Caenorhabditis elegans: one gene and its partners. The protein of the gene in region 1 interacts with the protein of each later gene in a pairwise test. Each region holds a gene or a part of one and is shown on either strand. Other genes may lie near its edges. The genes, in order: T19B10.5, tgt-1 and col-10.

Evidence for each region.
Region 2: the proteins of T19B10.5 (region 1) and tgt-1 interact in a two-hybrid assay, tested with the Caenorhabditis elegans proteins (one large-scale study listed by BioGRID).
Region 3: the proteins of T19B10.5 (region 1) and col-10 interact in a two-hybrid assay, tested with the Caenorhabditis elegans proteins (one large-scale study listed by BioGRID).

The regions. Positions count from the first base shown.
Region 1 is NC_003283.11:11,230,942-11,240,290, forward strand, and holds T19B10.5 (PDZ domain-containing protein), read left to right. Parts: upstream 1-3,708; 5' UTR 3,709-3,729; coding exon 3,730-3,907; intron 3,908-4,428; coding exon 4,429-4,850; intron 4,851-4,899; coding exon 4,900-4,960; intron 4,961-5,010; coding exon 5,011-5,447; intron 5,448-5,493; coding exon 5,494-5,910; intron 5,911-5,958; coding exon 5,959-6,134; intron 6,135-6,182; coding exon 6,183-6,282; 3' UTR 6,283-6,491; downstream 6,492-9,349. Other genes in the region: DNA-dependent metalloprotease dvc-1, read right to left, coding at 6,605-7,158, 7,208-7,496, 7,545-7,662, 7,769-7,825, 7,874-7,962; ima-1 (Importin subunit alpha-1), read left to right, coding at 8,765-8,822, 8,867-9,164, 9,214-9,349.
Region 2 is NC_003282.8:11,954,267-11,963,103, reverse strand, and holds tgt-1 (Queuine tRNA-ribosyltransferase catalytic subunit), read left to right. Parts: upstream 1-3,299; 5' UTR 3,300-3,310; coding exon 3,311-3,463; intron 3,464-3,758; coding exon 3,759-4,601; intron 4,602-5,202; coding exon 5,203-5,445; 3' UTR 5,446-5,557; downstream 5,558-8,837. Other genes in the region: ZK829.7 (Enoyl reductase (ER) domain-containing protein), read left to right, coding at 1,572-1,782, 1,849-2,090, 2,145-2,584, 2,635-2,860; gdh-1 (Glutamate dehydrogenase), read right to left, coding at 7,890-8,155, 8,416-8,837. UniProt on the Caenorhabditis elegans protein: Catalytic subunit of the queuine tRNA-ribosyltransferase (TGT) that catalyzes the base-exchange of a guanine (G) residue with queuine (Q) at position 34 (anticodon wobble position) in tRNAs with GU(N) anticodons (tRNA-Asp, -Asn, -His and -Tyr), resulting in the hypermodified nucleoside queuosine (7-(((4,5-cis-dihydroxy-2-cyclopenten-1-yl)amino)methyl)-7-deazaguanosine).
Region 3 is NC_003283.11:9,161,396-9,168,771, reverse strand, and holds col-10 (Cuticle collagen 10), read left to right. Parts: upstream 1-3,464; 5' UTR 3,465-3,481; coding exon 3,482-3,592; intron 3,593-3,642; coding exon 3,643-4,416; 3' UTR 4,417-4,480; downstream 4,481-7,376. Other genes in the region: putative aldehyde oxidase gad-3, read left to right, coding at 1-328; B0222.11 (uncharacterized protein), read left to right, coding at 731-874, 1,179-1,322, 1,428-1,502, 1,556-1,706, 1,770-1,925, 2,390-2,557, 2,609-2,841; col-145 (Putative cuticle collagen 145), read left to right, coding at 5,783-5,893, 5,948-6,721.

The DNA of each region.
Region 1 (9,349 bases):
AACAATTGAACGCTACTCATGTTCCGCGAAACTTTGAGCTTATTCAAATGGAGTATCTAAACATTTTTGTAGATCTAGTAAAAACCGTATTACTGTTTTCACGTTTTCACATTTATGCCAATTGTATCGAACATCCATAAAATCAACACCATATCCCTTTTTTCCAATCAACACCGTAATGTACTCGTCGTCATTTCCCCCTCTTCATAAAAAAGTGCATAGCAAAAATGGTGATCTCATTGGAATTGTATAAATAGTTTGCCTTCATGAAAAAATACAAGTTTTTTGTCTCATTCTGCTGCCAATGGAGATTATGATAAGAAAACAGTTTATTATCAGTCTATGTAAGGAGGAACGTTTGTCCTTCTGTTCTCTCCGTTTGTTTTGTTTCCAACAAGTTTCTTTTGGATAAATGAGAGAAAATGAGAGGGAAAGACCCACCCTTCTCCCTGTCACTTTTTTCGTGTTTCCTTATGATAATGTTAAGATGATGGATAGATTTTTCATTGCTATCGACACTTTTTGCCAACTTTTTTCAATTCGTTTTTTATTGCGCGCCATTCTCGAAACCTATCTACAAGTTAAACTTTATAGTCTATTTATTTCCAAGAATACCAAAACAATTGAAAAAAAAAACTATGATACTGCTGAAAAATTAGGTTTCCATTTTTAACTCAAATTTTAAACTGAAAGGTTCCTAAGACTCAGATTCTGACCTATAGTCTGGCCTGACAGCCTAAGAGTTTAACGCAACTAATTTTTTCTGCAAAGGTGCAAATCTAAATGACTGTTTCGTGTCCTGAATGGTTTCACAAATTTTGCTGCTCAGTAATGGAAATATTAACCTTATATGTTTGAAGTAGGAAAGTTAGTGTAGGCATTTTTTCAAAACATGCTCGATTTAAGGTATCAGCTTCACTCTTGGTCATGGACAATGGAAAGTAGGTATCTGGGAAATTGGAACATGTATGGTCGATTGTGTAATAGGATTATTGCGTCCTGCAGCGCGACCGATCTCTCTTTCTCTCTGTGTTTTGCCTGGCGGGATCCCGACATCAAATTCATCACGCTTCGATGAAACATTTGAACCGCTTCTTCGCTTATTCTGATTTAGGATCTTCCTTGGAAACAGTCAAGGAAACGTTGTCTCCAGAACTTTATGAGAACGTAGAAATCTGATTGATAGTGTAGCTGTAACTCGATTTGAACTTTTTTTTATTCTTGAAATGTGGACTTTACCCAAATTTTAATCAGCTTAGCCCACCTCTGTTCAAGATTATTCATTGTTATCAAAAAGTTATCATTTTCTATATGGCAAAAAATAGTGAAATGAACGTTTTTTTTTGTTTATCAGTCAATCAGCATAATCTCCTCCTGTGCCCTTTGTCCTTTAGTTTCACAAAACTCTATAAAAACGATTCGAATGATTTGATTTCTTAAGTTTACTCAATCTGCTCATTTGTTTTAGAGTTCATGGAATTGTTTTGAAACAACCAGTGAATATGTTCAGAATAATATTATCACTCAAAATTCCTAAATAATTAAATTAATTTTTGTGTATTCTTGATCTTCATAAATTTCCTCTGAAAGCACATACCTTTTTTCTATTGAAAGGGCACAAAAAGAGATATATTCGAATATTGTCTCAAACAAAAATGTTTTTAAAATTATCTTTGTCAACTTTCCACTTCTGAATTTTCATAAACTCTGGAAATATAAAGCTGCCGTAATTTCCTACTAGCATTGCAGCTCACTTTACTTTTACTGCATATATCTTGGTAAACTTGGGTTTTTAATCAACTTCTACACTGTTATCAATACTTTAACAACACTCAAAAATTTAAAATAAAATCAAAGATAAAAAAATATAAGCCGTCATAGTAGATTTGCAAGTCTAATAAGAAAAATACTGTATCTACTATGTATAAAAATATCAAAATAAATTGCCAACAATATAGATACCACGGACTACGTCTCAAACTCGTTCTTTTCCTTTTACCTTCGGAGCTTTTCCGGGAATGCATGTTAAAAAAAAGTGAGCAAATAAAACTAACTGAAAAATACCATAAGAATAAATTGCAAAGGTAAATACCTTGGGAAACCGGTTGGAATGTCTAGTCTGTAATATGTTGTTTTGTCCAGCTTCCCTTATTTTAAAAATATCGTAAAACAAATAGGTTTGAGAACAAGATAGTAGAAAAACTTTTGCTGAGATTACCAAAAAGTTAATGAACTTGACCATCTGATAATAAAATCCCTTCCTATCATCATCAGTTTCTCACACTTTGAAACAATATAATAAATCAACAGCTTCTCCCCCGCCCTTTCTGATTCCGCACTTCTTCATCTCCTACTTCTTGATTCAGCACGGAACACTTTTCCCTTCTACGAATATTTATCACTCGTCCCAAATACTGTCTCTTCTTGTGTCCACCTGCTGCTTTCCTTACTCAAGGTCGTACCGCTCTCCCTTACTTTCCGAATATATATTCATTTGCATGAACAATCCGAGATATCTTTGTATCTCCTATATCATTGTACTATTTGGTTTCAAAAAACATAACAAAACGATCAGTTTTTCGGACAACAGAAAGTGGCTTCGTGTCAAATCAAAGCAATAATAAAACGGAAAACTACAAATTATATACAGTTTCTTTATTGTATTTATGTAGTTTAATTGTCTGTTTCATAATAGTTTTCATCACTTGTTCTATCCAGAAAGTTATTTTTTGCGAGTATTTTTTTTAATTATCAAATGTAAATTTCTAGCCGTTATCAGATGTTTTGTACTATCAGTGAATCACTAGAATGCTCTGAAGCTCCATGTTCCATGTTCTAGTACTCTGTCCCTTGTAGTCAATTTCTGATGTAACTGTCTCTGAAACTTTACCCTTTCAGCTACATGTAGGTTGACTAGAAACTGAAAGTATTTAAGACACTTCGGAATGTCCCCAGGAAACTTTTGATAACGATGATTTGTTTATCATTCACATATGCAATCTGTTCATTTTAATTTGACCTATAGCCTCTTTTATCCGTCTCCTCGTAATTTATCATTTTATGATTGCGGAATATTTCAACTTTCTCTCATTTTAATTTCGGAAATTTATCAGAACATTTTGCCTACTGAATTTCGTGAGCATCTTGAAACTGTTTAGTCGTTGAATTGAAAACAAAACGACTGTGTTTCTAATGGGTAAAATAATATGCTCAACGTATATACTAGTTAACAGCCCGGTGCATAAAAAATCGAATCGTCTAAAAATCCCATCAACGCTGTGAAAATGCCCGATTTTGCTAAACTTAAAAAAAAACTCCTAGAGATGCCTTTTTGTAGAAATTTTTTAATTGAAACTTATGGTTGATCTTTTTTCCAATGTTAATAAGACATTTTAAATATCCATGGATATCCAGATAATTGCAAATTTGGACACTTTCCAATATCTAACCTTCATAAATCGCCTTGGAAACAAATTCAATTTGACATTTGACATCTCTTCACTGTTCGTGTTACCTTTTCTTATTTCCCGCAATGCTCTCCTCTTTTTCAATGTTTTCCTCTACTATTTCTTCACAGATTTAGCGCAGATAATATCTCGAAAGTCGTTGAAAGAAACCGCCGAACCGCAACCCTCATGCTGCTACCAATCCTTTCTTTCCTTTTTTCAACTATTTTTTTCTTTTCATCCAACTTTTTTCTGTATTCAGATCTTCATTCCACATAACATCATGGGTGGTCAACCTACATCACTGCTTTTACTACTGTCACTTGTACAATATGTAATGGCAGATGATACATGTCTTAGCAGGGGACAACTTTTTGGAGTCATATTTGGATCTGTTGCTGCTGCTTTCTTGATTTCAGCTGCTCTTGCTATTATTTTATACATTTGGTACAGAAGATCAAGTGAGTTTTATATTCTTCTATGTATTCTAAAATAATTTGGGTAAGCTTTATCAAAAATATAATTCAAAGCTACAGAAAACCACACAGAGAAAATTAGGTGCATATCAGATAGAAACTCACAAGGTAGGCAGAAATTCATTCAGGCACACGTACCTACCTGCCGCTCTTTTGCAGTTTGGGAATATTCTGACAAATTCAGATGCAAAGTGTCGTGCTTATCAGTGTCTAGAACTTACTGGGTTCCGCGGCTTGTTATAGAATTAAACAGTTAAACTAATTTGTTATGTATACTTTGGCAGTAGGCATGCGAATAGGCAAAAGGCAGAGTAGGTTGTCTTGAATTATAACTGTTTTGTCATTCCAATAAAATGTTTGCAAAAATATGAATTCATTGCAAAAGATGAAGATACTTTTAGTTCAGAAACAAAGACGAAAAATCAAAATACAAATAATGAAGAATTTTGATTTGAAAAAAACAATACTTTTTGTACCAAATGACAACCTTAATAACAAGTTTTCAGGTACAATTAGAGAAACAGATGAAAAATCAGCATATGCCAACGATGCCTGTGACGTCGAAGATAAAGGATGTGATGCTCCAAAATCAATTAATAAGGACAAAATGACAATGATTGATTCATTCAAGCTGAAAAGGAAAATGGAAGATTCAGGAACTCAGAAAGCATACTCTATGGAATTTTTGAATGAGGTCGAGGGAAAAGTTGGTGTCCAACTACGTGGTGTAGATATTGGAGGACTTGGATTCAATATTCAAGGAAATATGAATGAGGGAATATTCGTGAAAGAAATCATCTCGAAGGGAATTGCTGAACAATGTGGAAATATTTTAGTTGGAGACAAAATCAAATCTTTAACTATTAACTTTGAGAATATGGTTTATGAGGATGCAGTTACTCTATTGAGTTATTCTTCTCCATACAAGGTAAGTTCACAACGATATTCCTACTCATGCATCATCAATTCTTATTCAGGTGAAGCTCGAGCTTGAAAGAAAACTTTCTGATTCTGCATCAGTCAGTGATAGTGATGATGGTAAGTGGAACGTTCTTATCAATTAGACATTTATCAGTTGTATTCAACAGACAAAGAAATGAGATACCACCCACTGTTCCGAAGCAATACTCTTACACATGTCCACTTTAACCCACTGGGAACCATTTCAACTCCAACATCAATTGCTACAACTCCACAAAGATGTACTTCAACTGATTCCAAACAGAAGCACGCATTGCCACCACAGAGAGAAATCATCGAGCCAGACTCTACAACTTGTGCAGATGATAACAGTCAAGCTCGTGATGCTGATAACAGTCGAATGGATAGCAGTGATTACGGTAGTGATGGAATATCGGATTGTCGAGAGAGCACAGCAAGTGATGGAACACAAAAGACATTGAGCGATAGAATTGAAGTTACTGATATCATATTTGATAAGGTAAAGTCTCCAACTCCGCCACCATTGAGAAAGTTGGAGCAATGCACCGAACTGCCTCCAAAACCAAGAAAGATGGTTTCCAGAGTAAGTTTGAAAATAGTTCGATCAGAAAAAAAATTAAAATTTTCAGTCACCATCACCAGTTAACAAACCACCACCTTCTCCAAAAGTGAGCAGAGCAACTAGTCCAAAGAAATCTCAACAAGTGGAAGATTCAACTCAAACAACCCAACTCTCCGCTGAAACTAGACCAACACAGACTGAAAAACCAATTGCACCTGTTCCACCACCAATCAGCTCAATTCCAGTTAGAAAGGAGATGGAAACACAGACTAAGACTCCACCACCAGATCAAACTGTAGTCGAAAAGATTGTTGAAATAGCTCCAGTCGAGATTAAAGAGGATGATTCAAAGGGTCCAGAGATTACTGAAGCTAGAATTTCAAGGATTCCAAAAAGATCAGATAGCATAAAAACTCCAGTTATTGAGAGAAAGTTGCCATCTTTACCTAAAAGTGTGACACAAAGAAGTCACAGTGCTGATAAGGTATGTATTAATTTTAAAACTTAATACTATTATATTGGTTTTTTTCAGAACGACAATGTGTGGAGTCGGTTATACCAAGAAAAGAAAGGAAATTTACGAAAAACTCGTGACGTTTCTTCTCCACCAACTGCACACACATCTGGAATTCCAACACCGTCAAGATCAAGCATCACATCTACAGTAACTGCTACAGTAGGGAAGACCCCCAGCACAGATAATGAAAAGTATGGAATTGAAAATGTTGAATGCTCATTTTGAATTTATGATTTCAGATACGGTACATTGACACGCGAGAAGCGTGACCGTTTGATGGCGAACGACGCAGAATTGGAGAGGCAGAGAGAGGAATTGAGGAAATTGGGAGTTTTATGAATCCCATCCACTACAAGATGATTGTTAAATTGTTCTTTTGGGTATTTCACAGACATATTATTTATTTATTTTTATCTTCCATTTTCTCGCTTCCATCTTCCAATTCCAGATCATAGACACAAGTGCACTTACTCTTGCCTTTCGTCAAGTTGTACAGATTTACTGCCTTTTCACGAAAATCTTATATAAATAAAAACATTATTTTAAAAAAAACTTGTTCAGTGGATGAATCTTTATATTCTTAACCGTAAAATTCTGTTGACATGTTATGGGATTGAGATAAGTGTAGTACATAATAAAAATTACATGAGTATAGATAGCTTCACCCGAGACAGTAATCCAGATGTCCATGAATCAAATTTTCCATCACCTCCGTGTTACACGAAGGACAAATCACCGAGTTGTCCGAAGCGACAAATGAAATTTCCAAAGCATCATCGTCCATATCTTGAAAATCATCATCGTCACTGTCTCCAAGATCTATGACTTGCTCTGCTACTGGTGCTGATGAAGGAGAAGTGAAATTAACAGGTGGAAGGAGGCGGCTGACTCCTCCAGATGTACCACCAAGTCGGTTCCCACCAGAGTTTTGAGTTGCTTTTGGATATGAATTAAGAAGCGATGAAGTGGAAGAAGAACCTCCAAGTTTTTGACCACTCCCAGTGAATAAGGACGTTGATGGTTTAGTTGGAGATTTTGAAGTTGAATTGTCCGAAGAATTTTTGCCGTCCTTTTTGAAGAAGTCATCAAGCGTCACTCTAGGTGGAGTAATAGTTTTCTTAAGAGCGGGGCCGCCAGATTTATTTTTGTCGTTTGTTCTCTTTGATCCTTTTCCTTGTCCATAGCCTTCAGGTTCCTTAACTTTCAGAAAGTTACCTGAAATGTAAAAAATGAAAAAATATTTATTAGAAAAATAAAGTCTAACCTCCACAGCTTTGCTGATGTTGACTCCACCATCTATCATTCGGTCCGGGTGCTCGATTGCAGGATCTTTTCACATATCCAAAAAATGGGCGACGGTCTCTACACGGTCCACTACATCTCCACCAATGTTGTTTGTAAAGCCGAACTTCGTCATGAAAACTGTGATAAATCGTGATATTAGTTCCACCAGCTTGGTTAATTCTGTGCATATGGGCCTGGAATTGTGGGCCGTGACCATCACGATCTCTATTTCGTTCTTTAACAAAAAGATATGCGTGGATCATTTCATGCTGAAAATGTGCTTGAATCTAAGATTGTGATGTCACTATTGTAGTTACCAGCAGGGTCTCAACAAGATCACTTCTCGGTCTTAATGTCAACAGGGGTTTACTGAGCCGAATCGAACAAAGTCCTCCACGACCACCACGAATTTCATATGAACATATTCCGGCACATCTGGAAAAGTGATCAATAAAATATTTTGTGAAGTGTGCCCACTCGGAGACGCCATTTTTTGCTCGGTTGTCAAGCAACGCCAACAAAGCTTCCCAATTTCACTCACGCATACATACGGGGACTCCATTTCACTTCGCAACAGGCAAGAGATCCACCGAAAAACCTAGAATTTAGAGAATTTATTTTCGCTACCTCAATATTATGAATCTACCTTGCATCAAACTGGATGAACAACGCGTGAATATCCGGGCACGGATCCGAAAGTTCAAAAGACGGGTCTACGAGAGAGCTGCGACTCATTCTTTGTGGCTGCGGAAATTATGTGAACGATGGAGATGTGGAAATCGAGTAGAATACTGTAAACTTTTATCCATTAGAGAGGAGGAATACTTTAATTATGATAATAACTTCAATTAATGCAATATTATTTCATACCAGGGAATAAATTCATTTTTGTGCTCCTTCTAAAACGATTACAATTAATTAAATTCAGAGAAAACAATTATATTCAATTGTAATAACATTGAAACATCTCACACATTTTATTTGATCCATTTTTAATTGTTTTTAAAAATCCAAACACCAAAAATGTTTTCATTACCAAATTTTGGAAAAAAAAAGAAATATGTAAACTTCAAAACTAACTTTTGAAAAAATACAAGAACAGAAATGAATAAATAAACGAATCGGCTTACATTCAATACAAATGTTTTTGTTGGTATTTTTGTAGAGGAGGCGGTGCCTCGTAAATCGACACGCAACCAGTGCGCGGGTTTTTTGCAACCCCGCCGCATGCGGTAGTTACTGGAAAACTGTTTTCCGTTGACCTAACTGGCGGCACGCGGGAAATAATTCCACTTCTTTTCTATATTTTATGATGTTGTTTCATTACTCTGAAACCGCTCAGATGCGAGCTGCAGATCAGGTTTACAATTTCTAAAAAAAACTCCGATAGATTTCTTTCGAGGTCAAAATAAATAAATCAAAATCTGGTTGGTCACGTGTTGACTCTAATTACATACATTTGAGAGCTGTAGTGTTGTCTTTTCTTTTAATTATTGTAATTTTCAGTTATTTCTCATCTCACTGAAGCTATTTCAGAATGGGAGACGAATTCAGGCCATCGCATGAAGAGCGTTCAAAAATGTATAAATCGAATGGTGAGCTTTTAAGGTAATACCTTATAAAATTGTATTATTTTTAGTGCGTGATCAAAATGAGATGCGAAGAAAACGACGTGAAGATGAAGTTCAAATCAGGAAAAATCGCAGAGACGAAAAGTTCGAAAGAAATCGACAAATTACCGTCCAGCGTTCTTTGAGCCATGAGGAAACTTCGGAATTATTAAAATCAGTAGCAGACGGTTTACAAAGTATGCAGGAAACTACAATTCATGAAGCATTGACAGTTTTACACGAAAACTTGAACAACACGGTGTGGACTATTCATGTGCTCGTCAAAGTCCAAATTCTTCATAAATTATCAGATGTCTACTGTAACCGGTGAGAAGAGAAGAATATGCAGTTGAGAAAAATGAAATTAGTTTTTTAGAGTCATAAGCCAGACGACGCGATTGCTTATTTCTCGAACATTGCTCAAAATTAGTGGAATTGACGAGGTGAAATACGAAAGGTACTCTTCCGATGACAGATGCATTCAATCGCTGGTTTTCAATATCTCGACATAT
Region 2 (8,837 bases), on another chromosome or scaffold:
CCACTTTATGACGGAAAGTTAAAAAAAAACTTCAAAATGTTGACTGACTGTACTATGATATTTGCTCATCATATCATATGAGTGTTCCCTTCAAAAACAATTACAGTACCCCGTGAATGACTGGTCAAAAAGTGGAATTCTGGGAATGCTTGTAGCCGCAGTTATCACCAATTCTATTATGATCATCTATGTTTTCTTTGCACGAAAAATTCACTTGTCACTGAAAGCATGCACATTATCATGTACTACGAAAAGATTACATTCAAGTCTTCTCAAATCTTTAATTGCGCAAACTATAATTCCATTAATAAGTACAATCATCCCTTTATTTGTTGTATGGTTCCTCCCACTTGCCGGTGATAATTATGGAGTGTAGGTTATAGATTCATAAGTTCTTGAAATTTTTAAATACTTTCATAATACTGTCAACATATATTGTGCCTATACTAAGCGTTTATCCTGCAATTGATCCAGTTGTTATCACTTGTTCATTATCAGATCACAGAAATTCTGCATTGAAGATATTGGGATTCCAAAAAGATAAAACCAATGTATCTAAACGTTGATTAATTCATTTATAGATTTGGAAAAAAACGTTTATGAAGTTATTTAAAATGTGTATGATCTATTGATTTCAAATGTTCACAACGTCGAACCACAAATTGATGTTTCCTCATTTTCGATGTACTCAAACTATTTTATTATCGAACTTTTTTATGGAAAAATTTCAAATTATTTTTTTGCAAAATATTGGATTTTTTTGGAGATATTTCAAATTATTTTTTTTGAACTTTTTTTTTGAAAAATGTTTCAATTTTTTGGAAAATATTCGAGATTTTTTTCTACTCTCATTCTCCCCTAGAAGTCATGATGAAATTCGTTTGTGTGCACGTGAAAAGCACATGTATTGAGGGACGAATAGATGCTTCGGCATCTGTAGGGTCCTGCGTCTCGTTACTCTCCCACTGTTATTTTTCATCTGCAATATTTTCGTTTTCCATTTCACAAAGTTTATGTCAGTTAGTTGTTGTTCCGGTTACTTAAAAAGCTTATTCTCAAAAAGCCTAAGTTGATAGAGCTTTCAAAACATCAATAGTTAATTTGAATCTCTAATTCTAATTGTAAGTCAAGTAGATTCTTTCATAATAATCGTAACTGTAATTTTGCCGGAAAAATGCAAAAAAGTTTTCTTTATTAAAAACTAGTATTTAAAATTCCGCCAAAAGGCACGCAAAGTGCGCAAAGCCATTCTTGACCCCGTTATCGTGACTAGGCGCACTTTCCGTTTTTCAATCGGATTTTTTGTTTTCGGCACGTTGTTTCTCAACAAAGTTTAATGTCTCAAGTGATTGAACCAATTTTTCTATCATTTAAACTGAAAACACTAATATTTTATTTCTCTCCAAGTGTTTACAATGTTGATTCTATTGATTTTTCTCTAAAAAGTTGTGTCTCTTCAAAAAACACACACGTGACCCATGCTCTCACTTTGATGGTTTATTCTTTGTTAACAAATTTATTGATATTGAAGTGTTTATTCAACCTATTTAATTTAATTTTCCTTGCAGAAAATGCCAGCAACAAACCGAAGAATTTCTTTGGGATCTCCAAAGGATCTTCGGGAAGTGAAGTTTTTCGACGAGGAGCCAATCCCAGATGTCCCACCAAAGGGAGCACGCGTTAAAGTTTGTTATGCAGGAGTTTGCCTTACTGATAGAGAAGTTTCCAACACGAAGCAAGCAAGAATTACCAACGGAATCAAAGATACCAGCTTGTTTCCAGGTTTGAAATTTAGATTAATTTGGCTTGAACTAATGAAAATAACATTTTCGAAATCCGTTATTGCAGGATATGAAGTTTCCGGAATTGTTGAGTCATTCGGCGCTGAATGCACACCTGGTGACTATGATCTGACTATTGGAGATAAAGTAATCGTATGGCCAACTGATGAGATGTGCAGTCATGGTTATGCCGACTATGTTGCTGTTCCAACTCTCCATTTTCTTGTGAAAATTCCAGAAACTCTTTCAATGCATGTAGCATCTATTTTGCCTGCTGGAGCTACCTGGGCGTTGTCTGCTGTTCTTCAGGTTTGACATTTTCCACGGTTTTTTTCTTCAGTATTAATCAACAATTTTTTCCAGGCCAGACCGATAGTCGAAGCGTTTTCACAATCAAAGGGATTCTGCAATATTCTTATCGTGGGAGCAGGAGGACTTGGACTTTGGCTTCTTAAACTCGCCAAGCATTTCCTAGCGATCAACAATGATAAAAAGATCCGTTTGATGGTTGCTGATGCCAAAGAAGAACGTTTGTCTCTGGCCGAAAGAAACGGAGCTGACTTTGTAGTACACTGGGATGATTCCGAATTTGAAGAATATCTGATTATGAGAACTAAGGATGTGGCTCGTACCGGTGTCAATGTTGTTTTCGATTTTGTGACATCTCCAAGAACTGTCACTCGATCATTGAAGTGTCTCGCTGAAGGTGGTGTCTTATTTGTTGGAGGTCTTTCCGGTCTTGATGTTCAACTTCCAATCAAGCACGTTGCTAAAAACAGACTGGCCATTATGGGAGTTACGAGGTACTATTTGAAGTTTTTTTCTTTCTTTATTTCATTTACAAAATTTCCAGAGGAAGTATCGAACAACTGAAAAACCTTGTAAATTTGATTGCCGGAGGCCAAATCGATGCTCCAGACTACAGAGTTTATCCAGTCGATCAAGCGTCTGCAGTGTTGAAGCAATTGTCGATGTCGGAGGTTGAAGGTCGTGCCATTCTCGAAGTTTGCGATCCCTCTTCAGCATTAGATGCAGATCAGAGCGGCGGTGTTCCAATTCCTGCCGCCACTTCCGAATAATTGCTCAATAAGCCTCCAAAGGTGTAATAATTGTATTTCCCATTTTGCCATTTCATACATTGTCCCGACTCCCTTCACTCATAATTATATAGTCAGAAAGTCTTATTTCATCCTGTGCATTTACTCTATTACTTCCCAGACATCGGTATTTTGAGTATAGTGTTGCCATCTGCTTTTCAAAAATTCCCTGTAACATAAAATCCACATTTTCTCCCGTTTCTTGCTCTAGATCCGCATCCTTCCAAATAATTTTAACATGAGAACGAAAATAATTTTTAGTTAGGTAATCTTAGTTTGTAAAAAATATGTAAACAAACGAATTCAATGAATATTATAAAAAAACAAATTACCGTTACAGTACTTCATTAAAGGTCATAACCAATTATACTTGGAATAAAAATAATTATTTCCTATTTTAACGAAAAAAAAACTTACGAAGTGAAGTCTCCAATGACACCGGAACCGCTCCCGACGTGCCAGGCAGATATGAGGTACGACGTGCTGGCGAGAGCAGGATTCGCTCGTCGTGGAAATCTTCATTTGCCACATTCCATCGTCGAAACGCCTGTTTTTATGCCTGTTGGAACACAGGGAACTATGAAGGTATGGAATAAATTAAGAATAAAAATTCTAAATTGAAAAAAAAACTTTTTCAAAAATGTGAAATTTGTTTGTGATCATAATAAAGTATAATACAAAAAATAAAACCTGTTAGTTTTTTTTTTAACTTTCAGTGAAAATTTTTTCAAATTTTTGAAAAGTAGAGATTTTATGAAGTTTACAGCAAGTTAAATTTATGAACATTTTTTTTCAGATTCTCATTTTTCGATTTTCCCTGAAAAAAATTAAAAAAATATTTTCTCGAGTTTATGCAGTTTCATATATAATAAACTTACAGGGAATCGTACCGGAACAACTAGTCTCGATGGATTGTCGAATTCTCCTTTGCAACACGTACCATCTTGGACATCGTCCCGGTCATGAACGAGTTAAGGCTGCTGGTGGATTACATAAAATGATGAACTGGAATCGTTCAATTCTCACTGATTCTGGAGGATTCCAAATGGTCTCGTTGAGCAAACTCATGACAGTTGATGAAAATGGAGTGAATTTTGAAAGTCCTCATACCGGAGAGATGATGGCTTTACCACCAGAAAAATCAATTGAAATTCAACAAGCACTTGGTGCTGATATTATGATGCAGTTGGATCATGTAATTCATGTATTGACAACTGGTGATATTGTAAAAGAAGCAATGCATAGAAGTATTCGATGGCTTGATCGATGTAAAGTGGCTCATACAAGAGATGATCAAGCGATGTTTCCAATTCTACAAGGTGGTCTTAATTTGGAATTGCGGAAAGAATGTGCTAAAGAAATGGCGAAACGAGCAAAAGTTGGAATTGCAATTGGAGGATTATCTGGAGGAGAAGAAAAGGATCATTTCTGGAGAGTTGTGGCAGCATGCTGTGCAGCTTTACCCCCTCATCTTCCTCGTTATGTGATGGGAGTTGGATTTCCAGTTGATTTAGTAATCTGTTCATTTTTGGGAGCTGATATGTTTGATTGTGTATATCCAACAAGAACTGCAAGATTTGGAACAGCAATGGTCAGAAGAGGTGGATTGATGCAATTGAATCAGAAACGATATAAGGAAGATTTTTTGCCGATTGATAAGAAATGTGAATGTAATACATGCAAGAACTATACGAGAGCATATATTCATTCGATTGTTGGAAAAGTGAGCTTTTTTTCAAAATAATGTATTTTTCAACTTACTGATTTAAAAAATTCAAAATTTTCCATGTTTCCGTTTATTTGCAAAACTGTAATGATTTACAGCTGAAAACGTAATTAGATTTTGCCGTAAAACGTTGAAAATATTCAGACCACTTTTTAGAAACGACATTATAAAAAATAAAAATAACGTTCGAACACAATTTTTTTTGTCAAAACCATGAAACCAAAAAAAAACTTTTGTCAAAGTAAATACCATAAAAATCAATAAAAAATCTCTCTCTGTTACACATAATAGAGAAAAAAGCATCACAAAAATATGTCTCCATTTGCAAAATTAAACACAATTTCCAATAGTTACTTACCTGTTATCCCGTCATTATCGGGCCTACCGTAGTCCTGACAAAATACGTTTAAAAAAGTTTCATAAACGCACCCTACAAAAGTTAGACTTTTGCAGATTTTTTGCAAAGTTTTGGACATTTCAATAATACTATTTGATGTCGAATTTTATTTTAAAAAAAATTCAAGTCTCAATAGATCCATTTTGAACAAATTTGAGAATGTTCTTAGCTAAATTTAATTAAATCTCAATAATTTTCCAGGAAACGGTAGGATGTCATCTAGTATCAGTTCACAACATCAAACATCAACTGGATCTTATGCGAGACGTTCGTCAAGCGATTCAATCGAATTCTGTTGAGCAATTTCTGAAGCAATTCCTATATGACTATTATGGACCAATTCAATCTGAAAATCCATCGAAACAAGATTCTGAGAAGATGAGGGAAGTTCCTCAATGGGTCAGAGATGCTGTAGATCATATGGGATATAAGCTTGATTTTTGATTTTTGATTTTCTTTGTTTTGTTGTTAATCTTATTCGTCATTGTTGAATTGTTGTTGAATCATATACATTTTTTTAAATCTTATCAATCAATTATAATAAATTTTATTCCAGATCGCGTAAAATTCCAATGTCAGGCTTCTTATCTCTAGACACGTGGTTCCCTTTAGGACCGAAAGTTCAAACTCGAAACTTTTTCTACAGAATCTCCCCCAGCCAACACCACCACCACATACAGAACGTTTCGTGCTATTTCGTTTGTGCTGCTTTTCGAGTTTGTGTAAACTCAGTGAGCTCTCTAATGGTTTTCTCTCTCGAGCACAGAGCCGCCTATCTCTCCTCCTCGACCACAATTGATTGTTTGAACTCTTTTCTCAACTACCTCATCATATCGCCACGTGTTTGTTTCACTGATGATTTTGTATCTGAGAGCCCAAGTGAAAGTCAATTTGCAACTGTACAGGGGGAGAAAGGGCAAATAATGAACCTATTGGCGTGCGGTAGACATAAATAAGAGAATGCCCACGGCGATGTCCTTCTGAATTTCGTTGAAACACTAAACATGGTGGTGTAATGGGTTTCAGTAACAATAAAGTAATTAAAAATCAACGGAAACTATAAGAAACACACGTTGTTTGTTTCCGTAGAGATGTCTGGTATTATTACAACTGGAACAGAAATCAAAAAGTTACTTTTGAATATAATATTTTGTATGGCACCATGGGTCTCACGACGAAAAAGCCAATAATAATAAAGTCGACGAAATACCTAACGAGACTCAACGTTTGGGGGCGGAGCGATTTCGTTTGGCGTTGGAGCGCTCTTGCATCTCGGTTTCAGAATTAATGACTTAATCGCTGACCCCCAGCTTAATATTAACCTATTGTATTTTAATAGAGGACGAACTTCCTCATAACAAAAATACCACGTGGCCCTGAGCTCCCTCCTGATAGCTGACCTCGAGCCAAAACATGATCCTATGATTTAAGGGGAATCCCCCAATCATCTCCCGGTCATCATCTGACTTCAGATGTCACCCCACCCAACACATTTTCTTTGTCCTCGACTTGTTATACGTGCAAAAGCGAGAAAAAACGAGACGATTCTCTTTTCGTCGCGCCATGACATCGGTTTCCGCAAATATCTCTGCGACTCTCACCCACGTGGGTCTCTAATCGTTGAGGATGAGAGAGCGAGAGTGAGAAGAGAAGCAGAGAAGATCAGACCATCAGCCAACGCTTTTTTATGTTGCGGTGCAGTGTCGACTGTCGACGACGAAACGAGCGGTGTGGAATTGAATGAACTTGGCAGTGAGAAGATGATGAAAAATGCAACGAAAAATCGTCAGATGATGATGAAGATGATGGCCACCCAGGCTTATATGGATTTTTATTGAGCTTTTGAAATTTAAAATTTTATAATTTATTTTGGTTCGCCTTTTCTGAAACTTCATGGGAACAAACACAGACCAAAATATTATAAAAGTGTAAGTTTATGGTAGTCTTTTTGAATTTTTAGAAGGCTACCATAAACTTTTCGGCGCGACGAGACCCGTCTGAATAAATCCGTGCGCCTTGAAAATGTATGCTATTAAAATCTGTGAAACTACACGATATGCACATTCCAAAATTTCTCTGTAACTGCAAAAATTCAAAAAAATCTCCAATTCTAAATATTTCCCTCAAACATTTGCGTACACTTCGAACCGAAATGGGGGATTCCCTCCAAACTGTCTTTATCATCTTTTATCATTTCTTCTTTTTGTCCAATCAGATTAGCTTCGTTCAAACGATCACCCAATTTAATCTTTCAACATTTCTTTTCATTCTCTCCAGGAATTGCATCAGTTTGACGACGAAGGTTTTGCCGGAAAAGATCAACTGATATGGAAACGGCCAAGCATCAACTTCGTTTAGACAATTCGAAAATTTTGCAACAATTGTGGAGGTGATTCCCAAATTTGAAGCTGATAGTGGCACACAATGTGAAAGTGATATGTTATCGAAAATTCTAAATTATAGTAAATAGAAAGACACAAGTCTGATAAAGTTTTTAATGCTCCCTGAAATTTCTTTTCCAATGATCATTGGAAAATTGCAATGACCATGTAGAAGTGTTTAAGGAAATAAACTTTTTATTATTTTTGAGATTTTTTTTTGAAGAATGGTCTCCGTCTCGAAACCGTCCCGAACCAACAAACAACGAAAAAATTATGTGTGGGGATGAAAAGGGGTGGGGAACCAATAAAATATTTAATTATACTAAAGTGAGAACGAACCAGGCAGAAAAGATCAGAGCTAGACTTTAGTTAACCTAGATAGTTTCGAAACAGAAAACTATGGAAAAGGCACTAAAGGGTTACACGAAGCTATTTAAACCTGGCTTGGAGCCATTTGATGTCATAAAAGAGGATACAAGAGCCATGAGATGAGTGAGAAGTGGGTACTTATGTGAAGGTGAATCCAGCGGTTCTGTAGGTGTTGTAGACCTTCTCGATGGAGTTGGCATAGGCAGCAGTACGGATATCAAGTCCAAGGTTGTACTTGTGAGCGGTGCGGATGATGGCTTCTCCGGAGCGTTGCATTGTGTACTCGAGTCCAGAGTGAACGATGTCTTTCTCGGAAGCTCCAGCGATCTTGGCAGCGAAAGCAGCATTTGGTTCAACTGGGCAATCCTTTCCGACGGCCTTGGAGAGAGATTCTTGGACCGAGGCTGAAAATTCAAACATTTTTAAACAGAAAGAATTGATTTACAATTTGTTTCCTAGAGTGCATACGTACTCATTTTCACGACAACGGTTGAGTGGCCTCCTCTCCCTCCTCATAAAATAAACGGAAAAGTGTGACAAGCGTAAGAGTATCTAGCCCTTGTTAGTTTCTAAACAAAATTTTATCACAGATGAAAACTTGCAAATCGTTTCATTGTGTTACTCTACGCAAGTCTAGGAATTCAAATTTCGAAAATTTACTTACCCAAAAGCATCTTGTTGGCTTCCTCGTCATATTTGAATGTAAGACGTCCGTAGGAAACATGGTTAAGATTCTTCAACCACTCGAAGTAGGAAACAGTAACTCCACCAGAGTTGACGTACATGTCTGGGATGATGAGGCAATCTCCACGAGCAAGAAGAATTCTGTCAGCAGCTGGGGTAGTTGGTCCGTTGGCAGCCTCGGCGATGATCTTAGCTTGAATGCGGCTAGCATTTTCCTTGTGGATCGACTTTTCGCAAGCAGCTGGAACGAAGATATCGCACTTCTCGTACATAAGCTCAGTGAATGGGTCGAAGTTCTTGGCTCCTGGGAAGTTCTTGATAGTTCCATTGGCGTCCTTCCAATCTTCGAGCTCCTTTGGATGAATACCATCTGGGTTGTAGACGGCGCAATCGTACTCCTGG
Region 3 (7,376 bases), 2.1 Mb from region 1:
TCTCGTAACTTGCGAAAAAATTACATTCAATAAAACTACCGGACAATTGGATCAAAACACTGCAGGAAAATATAAGATACCAAAAGCCAGTGATGTTCCAAAAGACTTTAGAGTGAAACTTCTGGGCATTAATAATGCAAATGGAGCACAAGTTTACTCGTCAAAAGGAATCGGAGAGCCACCACTAATGATGTCATGTGGGGCAGTTCATTCGTCAATAATGAATTGTATTGATAATTGGAGAAATGAAAATGGTATTCATGAATTTGTGGATACAATTTCACCACTCAGTGCTGAAAAAATTCAAGAACTCTGTTCAAAGAAATAATTACATCTAATTAAATTTTATTTGTCTTCTTATAAATAAATTGTTGTATATATCTCAAGCCTTTTGTTGATATTTAATCCACAGACCATGATATTGATCATCTATTAATTCTTCGAACATTTCCATTCAGAACACTTTTGTAACAATTTAAATCGTTTTGAAATGAATTCGATGTGTTTATATTTTAATCAGGAGGCGTTTGGATTTATAAACGAGCGTCCGACAGGATTAGTGTGCCACTTTCTTTTTCAGTCCACACTTGTCCCCTCTCAACACTTTTTTGTTATTCTCTCACTTTATCCTCACCTCTCGCCTAAAGTTCATTTCAAATTTTTGATTCATTTCTTACTGTGTGAAATCAAGAACTAGACGGAGTCGGAGTGGTTGGCTCGAGATGCTTCAATGAGTCGACGGACTGCGTCGAAGTTACTAGTTTTTGTATTTTTATGCTCTTTATGTTTTGGAACTCAACGGTATGATATGCCGAGAAAAATTGACTTGTTTAATGATTTGATTACACAATCGACAACTCCAGCATCTCCAAAGGTGAATAATCAAATATACAACTTTCAAACCAAAGCATTTATAATTTTTGTAGTTTGTTTTAGTTTTTAATTTTCAAGTTTTCTTTTGATAATTGTTATTCTAAAAAATTGAAAGCAATGGGTAGTTTTGTTCAAAGTTCAAATTTATACAACAACGTCTACCTACTAAAAAATGGTATATGCCGAGTTTTAAGTTGATTCGAAAGTTGATCTCGTATAAACTAGCTGATCTGAACTTCCGAACTCAAAGTTTTTGCCGAATTAGCACGAAACACAAGTTCCCAAAATATTTCAAATGTTTTCAGTGCCAATGTCTTCCACCAACAACTCCATCCACCCCTCCAAACTGTATTCCTTACGATTCTCGATTGCAAGCAGCAAGTCTTGAAGAAGCTATTGTGGCATTCCCAGATCTTACCATTACTCGACAAGAGAAGACACAACAATCTGTAATTCTTTTTTTTTCATTATGTTTTCGGATCTCAATTAACTTTCAAATTATGGAAATTTGTTTTAAAGCTTTTTCGGAGTGTAAAGTAACTATAATATTTCAGACTGCAACACTAAACAACTGCAAAACTAAACAATGCCGTGATTGCTATAAAGATCTCAGAAGCCAGTTGCGAAAAGTAGGAAGCCTCTTGCAGAATCGCTTCTAGAAATGTTCACTTCCAATTTTCAGGTCGGTCTTCTTCCAGGAACCATTGACCAGGTGTTTCACAATCAGCGGAACTTCACAACTTGTCAAAAATATAGATTTGCAAGACAGGATAAAGGAGTCTATGAGAAGAAAAAGAAAGCCAAACAACATTATGATTGGGATTATGTAGAATGTAAGAGAACATTCAGTGTTCTTTTTTTGGAAAAACTCTCAAGTACAAATTGAAAGGTTTCAGATGATGAAGATGAAGATGATGATTACTTTTGGGATGGATTATTTTGGAAGAAGAAGAGAAATGTATTAAAGAAAATTGTAAAACGAGACGTTGAAGCTACTACTGCAATTTCACAACCACCTAACAGTACAGCAATGAACTCAACCGGAATTATAGGTTTGTATTGAAGACATAATTTTTTTTCTAAAAACTTCTTATTGGTATATATTTTTCAACACTCTGAAAATAAGATATATTCAAAACAATAATTTTAAGTGACCGTCATAAATAATTATGAAAAGAAAACAACCATTCAAAGGTTTTTTTAAAAATTTTTACTCAAAATGCGTGTATTGTTCTCCCTCAAAAAATTATTTCCGGGTCGTGAATTCCCTTACGAGAATTTCAATTCCCCTCGGGTGGTCATCATCTCAAATTCCAATCTTCTTTTTCATTTTCAATCTCTAACAATTTCAAATTACTAGAACCCACAAACCAATGTTCGATAACGGCATGCAACCTTGAGAGAGTCTCCGATTTGATGTGTAACCTTCATTAAACCCTGTAATACAAGTCATGTCGACAAACCAGATCTTCATCCCTTCAACATTTGGCAGAAAAGTGCAATTCGTCTTTTACAGGAATTCGATTTCCGATCTCTTGCACAACTCGAGGCGTCACTCCAGATGGATTAGGAACTGTTTCCCTTTGTAGTACATGTTGGGTGTGGCGACGTCTTCCGAGTACCTACTATCCTGCATATCTTAACGAAGTCGTGTGCGATTATGCGGACACATCGTGTCTGAGTGGTAGTGAAAAGACAGAGAAAGTGGGGGAAAAAGAAAATACCATTTTTTCAGGATACGCGTCATGCCAAACTGGAACCCAACAGTTGAATGTGCTACGAAATGACAGCGGGAAATTGATTCCAATATCGGTATCAGCTGGAATCAATTGTGAATGTAGATTAGCAGTTGGATCAACACTTGAATCACTCGTACTTGGACAAGGAATTTCCAAAGCAATGCCGCCAATTGACACAACTAGTACAAAACCACCAAATTTGGCAACAAGCACAACAAGCCATTCCTAATTTATTTGGGTATTTTACTCTTGATAATTGTATTAATGATCATTTAATGTTGTTGAATATCACACATTTAACATATTCAATCGAAGAAATATAACGACGTTCCACAACATCCAGTATACGTCTTCCTCTGTATTGAGTTTTATTCTTTGACATTGTGTCATGTTTCAGAACATAGAAATATACCAAAGTGTTGAGAAGCATTGTATAATTCAATTGAATCTTTTTCAGTTTACCTCTTCTCCTTTTTCACCGTTTCCGTCATCAAAACGCCGTTATTCAAGGTGAGATTATGGCGATAAATGAATGCCATTCACAAAATTGCAAGACACTATTAAAGAAGAAGAGGTTTAGAGATTTGTACCGATCATAGCTTCTTCTGAGAAAGCGACCTTGGCGGCCGTACTTGAAGAGAAGCAATTTTTATCGCCGTAGAAGATGTTGCCTGCCACCCACCCTGTACGTTGTTTTTTTGCTTATCAACATCTGAATTTTGTTGTCTTTTGCACCGCCTACTTTTACTATGGAATTTGAGGAAATATAATATGAATTGAAGAGAATACGCTACCTGTCAAAGAAACGTCACGGTTAGGGTAGTATAAAAGGGAAGGGTAACACTGAATAAGGTACCTGGCTTTCAGTCATGGAGAAATTTCTTGTAACCCTCTCTACCGGAGCTGCCTCCATCGCCGTTCTCGCCGTTCTTTTCACAGTTCCATCCCTCTACAACACCATCAACGAGGTTCACGATGAGGTAATAACTATTCATTATTTATTGCATTTTTTAATCTAAAATATTTATAGGTTCTCGATGGAGTCTCTGTCTTCCGTGTTGAGACCGACTCTGCATGGACCGAGATGATGGACATCCAGATCACCGTTACCCCACCAACCAAGCCACGTGTCAACCCATTCAACTCTATCTTCCGTCAAAAGCGTCAAACATTCTCTGGACTCCCAGCTTGGTGCCAATGCGAGCCAACTAAGCCAACTTGCCCACCAGGACCACCAGGACCACCAGGACAGCCAGGAGCCCCAGGAACCCCAGGAGCCCCAGGACCAAAGGGAGACGACAACACCGCTACCTTCGCTCCACTCACCTGCGCCCCAGTCTCCCAAGACTGCGTCAAGTGCCCAGAAGGACCAGCTGGACCAGCCGGACCAGAAGGACCAGCCGGACCAGCCGGACCAGACGGACAACCAGGAGCACCAGGAAACGCTGGAAACCCAGGATCCGACGGACAACCAGGAGCCCCAGGAGACAACGGACAAGACGGAGCCCCAGGACAAGACGGACAACCAGGAGCCCCAGGACAAGACGGACAACGTGGATCCGGAGCCCCAGGAGGACCAGGAGCCCCAGGAAACGCTGGACCAGCTGGACCAGCCGGACAAGACGGAGCCCCAGGACAAGACGGACAACCAGGACCAGCCGGACCAGCTGGACAAGATGGAGCCCCAGGAAACGCTGGATCCGATGGACAACCAGGAGCCCCAGGAGGACCAGGACTTCCAGGAAACGATGCCGCTTATTGCGCTTGCCCACCAAGATCCGCTGTCTTCGTCTCCCGCCATTAGATTGGTTCAAGACAAGCATCGTCTCTTTTCTTTTTATCAAAATAAAATCATTTTCATTCAAATTTTACTTTTAATAATACATCAAACTACAAGTTAATGTTTGCCGAACACACGAGAGACATTCTTATTTCAATAGTCATTTCGAAAAATTTCACTTTGTCTTTTTGGTCTGCCATGAAGATAAGTGTAATTCCACCTGACAAGAGTGCGAGGAAAGAGGCTGAAAGGTTTCATTGTTTAGTAGACGACAAAAATGTTGGTTGTAATAAACATAAAGTAAATGAAGTGTGTTTTTGTTAAGAATGGCTTAGAAAAAAGTGTAACTTAAATATCATTATGCAGTCTGTGACTAAAGGTCACTAATTTTTTCACAAGATGAAATGGGATAAAAGTTTCGCCAAGTTCGGACGAGTTTAGAGTCGAAAATTTGAATACCGCTTTGAGAAATTATCAATTTTTCTACGATTTAACTAGGAAAGACATCAAGGCTTTCAGTCATGGAGATTGCGAATAGTAGGAACACTAGTTTATAGGTACCTATCAAGTAATAAGAGCATACACATGTACAAGGGTTTTGCTGGTTTTTGCACCCATCGGCTGACAAAATACCTCAATCAGCGAAACAATATTCGGTAATATACCAAGATATGCAATACGAATAGTGACTAGTGAATAATTAATTTACACTAGTTTTCGCGAGTCGTAACATTGTCAAGTTGACAAAATTTGAGTTTTTACCCGGAAATGGATTATTTTTTCAATCTTCAAACTGTCATAACTTTTTTTGTGAAACTTTCTAGACATCTCATTTTAAAATGAAGTGCTTTCGAGGGAGATTTCGGAGTCTAATAAAGCAATGACTTACATTTTGTAAGGCCAGATATAAAATGTTCATCAATGTTTTGTTTTACATATTCATCAACAACCATTCTAAAAATTCAGTCAGGCGCACCCCGTGAGCGATCCAAGAGGTTTAATTGTAAATGTTATCATCCAGTCAAGGAATTTTAAGGTAACGCAAAATATTTCTAAATAACATCCCATCTGACACATTCAGATCGCAACATATCATGCAATCGCCTCGAGAGAAAGTTGTCCGTCCTTCTTCCTCTATCACCTACTGAGAGAAAAGCATTTCATCTTTGTCCGCTTTTTCTCTACGGCCTGCCCACTTTACTATCTTCCTCGTTTGTGGCTTCTGAATGAGGAAGTTGAGGCAAGAAAGACAAGAAAAAAAGCGAGTTCATGGAGACAAATGGAATATTTCATTACACATCTCTATGCAAAAAAAAACTGTATGAGTAATTCAAAAAGAGGAGTATAAAAGGAGGCAAGATAACTAGGAAAGACACCAAGGCTTTCAGTCATGGAGAAGATTCTTGTAACCTTTTCTACCGGAGCTGCCTCCATTGCTGTTCTTGCTGTTCTTTTCACCGTCCCATCCCTCTACAACACCATCAATGAAGTTCACGATCAGGTTTATATATATATACTTTTACAAAATAGTTAAAACAAAATTTCAATTTTATAGGTACTCGATGGAGTCTCTGTTTTCCGTGTTGAGACCGACTCTGCATGGACCGAGATGATGGACATCCAGATCACCGTTACCCCACCAACCAAGCCACGTGTCAACCCATTCAACTCCGTCTTCCGTCAAAAGCGTCAAACTTTCTCTGGACTTCCAGCCTGGTGCCAATGTGAGCCAACTAAGCCAACTTGCCCACCAGGACCACCAGGACCACCAGGACAGCCAGGAGCCCCAGGAACCCCAGGAGCCCCAGGACCAAAGGGAGACGACAACACCGCTACCTTCGCTCCACTGACCTGCGCCCCAGTCTCCCAAGATTGCGTCAAGTGCCCACAAGGACCAGCAGGACCAGCCGGACCATCAGGACCAGCCGGACCAGCCGGACCAGACGGACAACCAGGATTCCCAGGACAACGCGGTAACGACGGATTCCCAGGAGCCCCAGGAGCCCCAGGAGACAACGGACAACCAGGAACACCAGGACAAGACGGATTCCCAGGACAGCCAGGAGCCGACGGACAACGCGGATCTGGAGCTCCAGGAGCCCCAGGAGCCCCAGGAAACGCTGGACCAGCTGGACCAGCAGGACAAGATGGATTCCCAGGACAAGACGGAGCCCCAGGACCAGCCGGACCAGCTGGGCAAGACGGATTCCCAGGAAATGCTGGATCCGATGGACAGCCAGGAGCCCCAGGAGGACCAGGACTTCCAGGAAACGACGCCGCTTATTGCGCTTGCCCACCAAGATCCGCTGTTTTCCTTTCCCGCCATTAAATTTACTTTCATTGTATTCTCAATACTTTCCATGTCATAAAATAAAATTTTTACTTTGTCTTTCATATTTTTAACAGCCTTGTTTACCGATTGAAATCAGCTGAAAACATAAGGAGAAGTCAACAGTAGCACCCGATTGAAGCAATGTAGTGTAAAATCATGTAGTTACTCAACATTTATTGTTTGATTCAACCTTTTCTTCTGTTGTCCAATATAACCAAAAACAACAACAAAAACATTTTTGAGATACAAAATCATTGCTACATCATTAATCAATCTTCATAAAGTCTGATTTTTCGCTTCGAAAAAGAAGCGTTCAAATTAGAGTCAGCCGACCAACAATCTGATCCTGTTTCGAACACCGCAGGTGTCAGATGGATAAGTGACAATGTTGCGGAAGAAAGAGAGATGATGGGAAAAGTTTTGAAAAAAAAACTGGCTTTCCTTTTTTTAGGGATCCTTTGATGGAACCCAGAACTGTGGGAAACATTTAATCCAAATATTTTGGCTAAATAGTTTCATGTATAGGAAAGAACAACAAACATGTTTTAATTAAACATAAAACGCAATTTGAATTTGTTACATTATTGTATTCGAAGATACATTTAAAAAAATTAAACTTTAAATTTTAAAATTTCATCATTCAGATAAATCT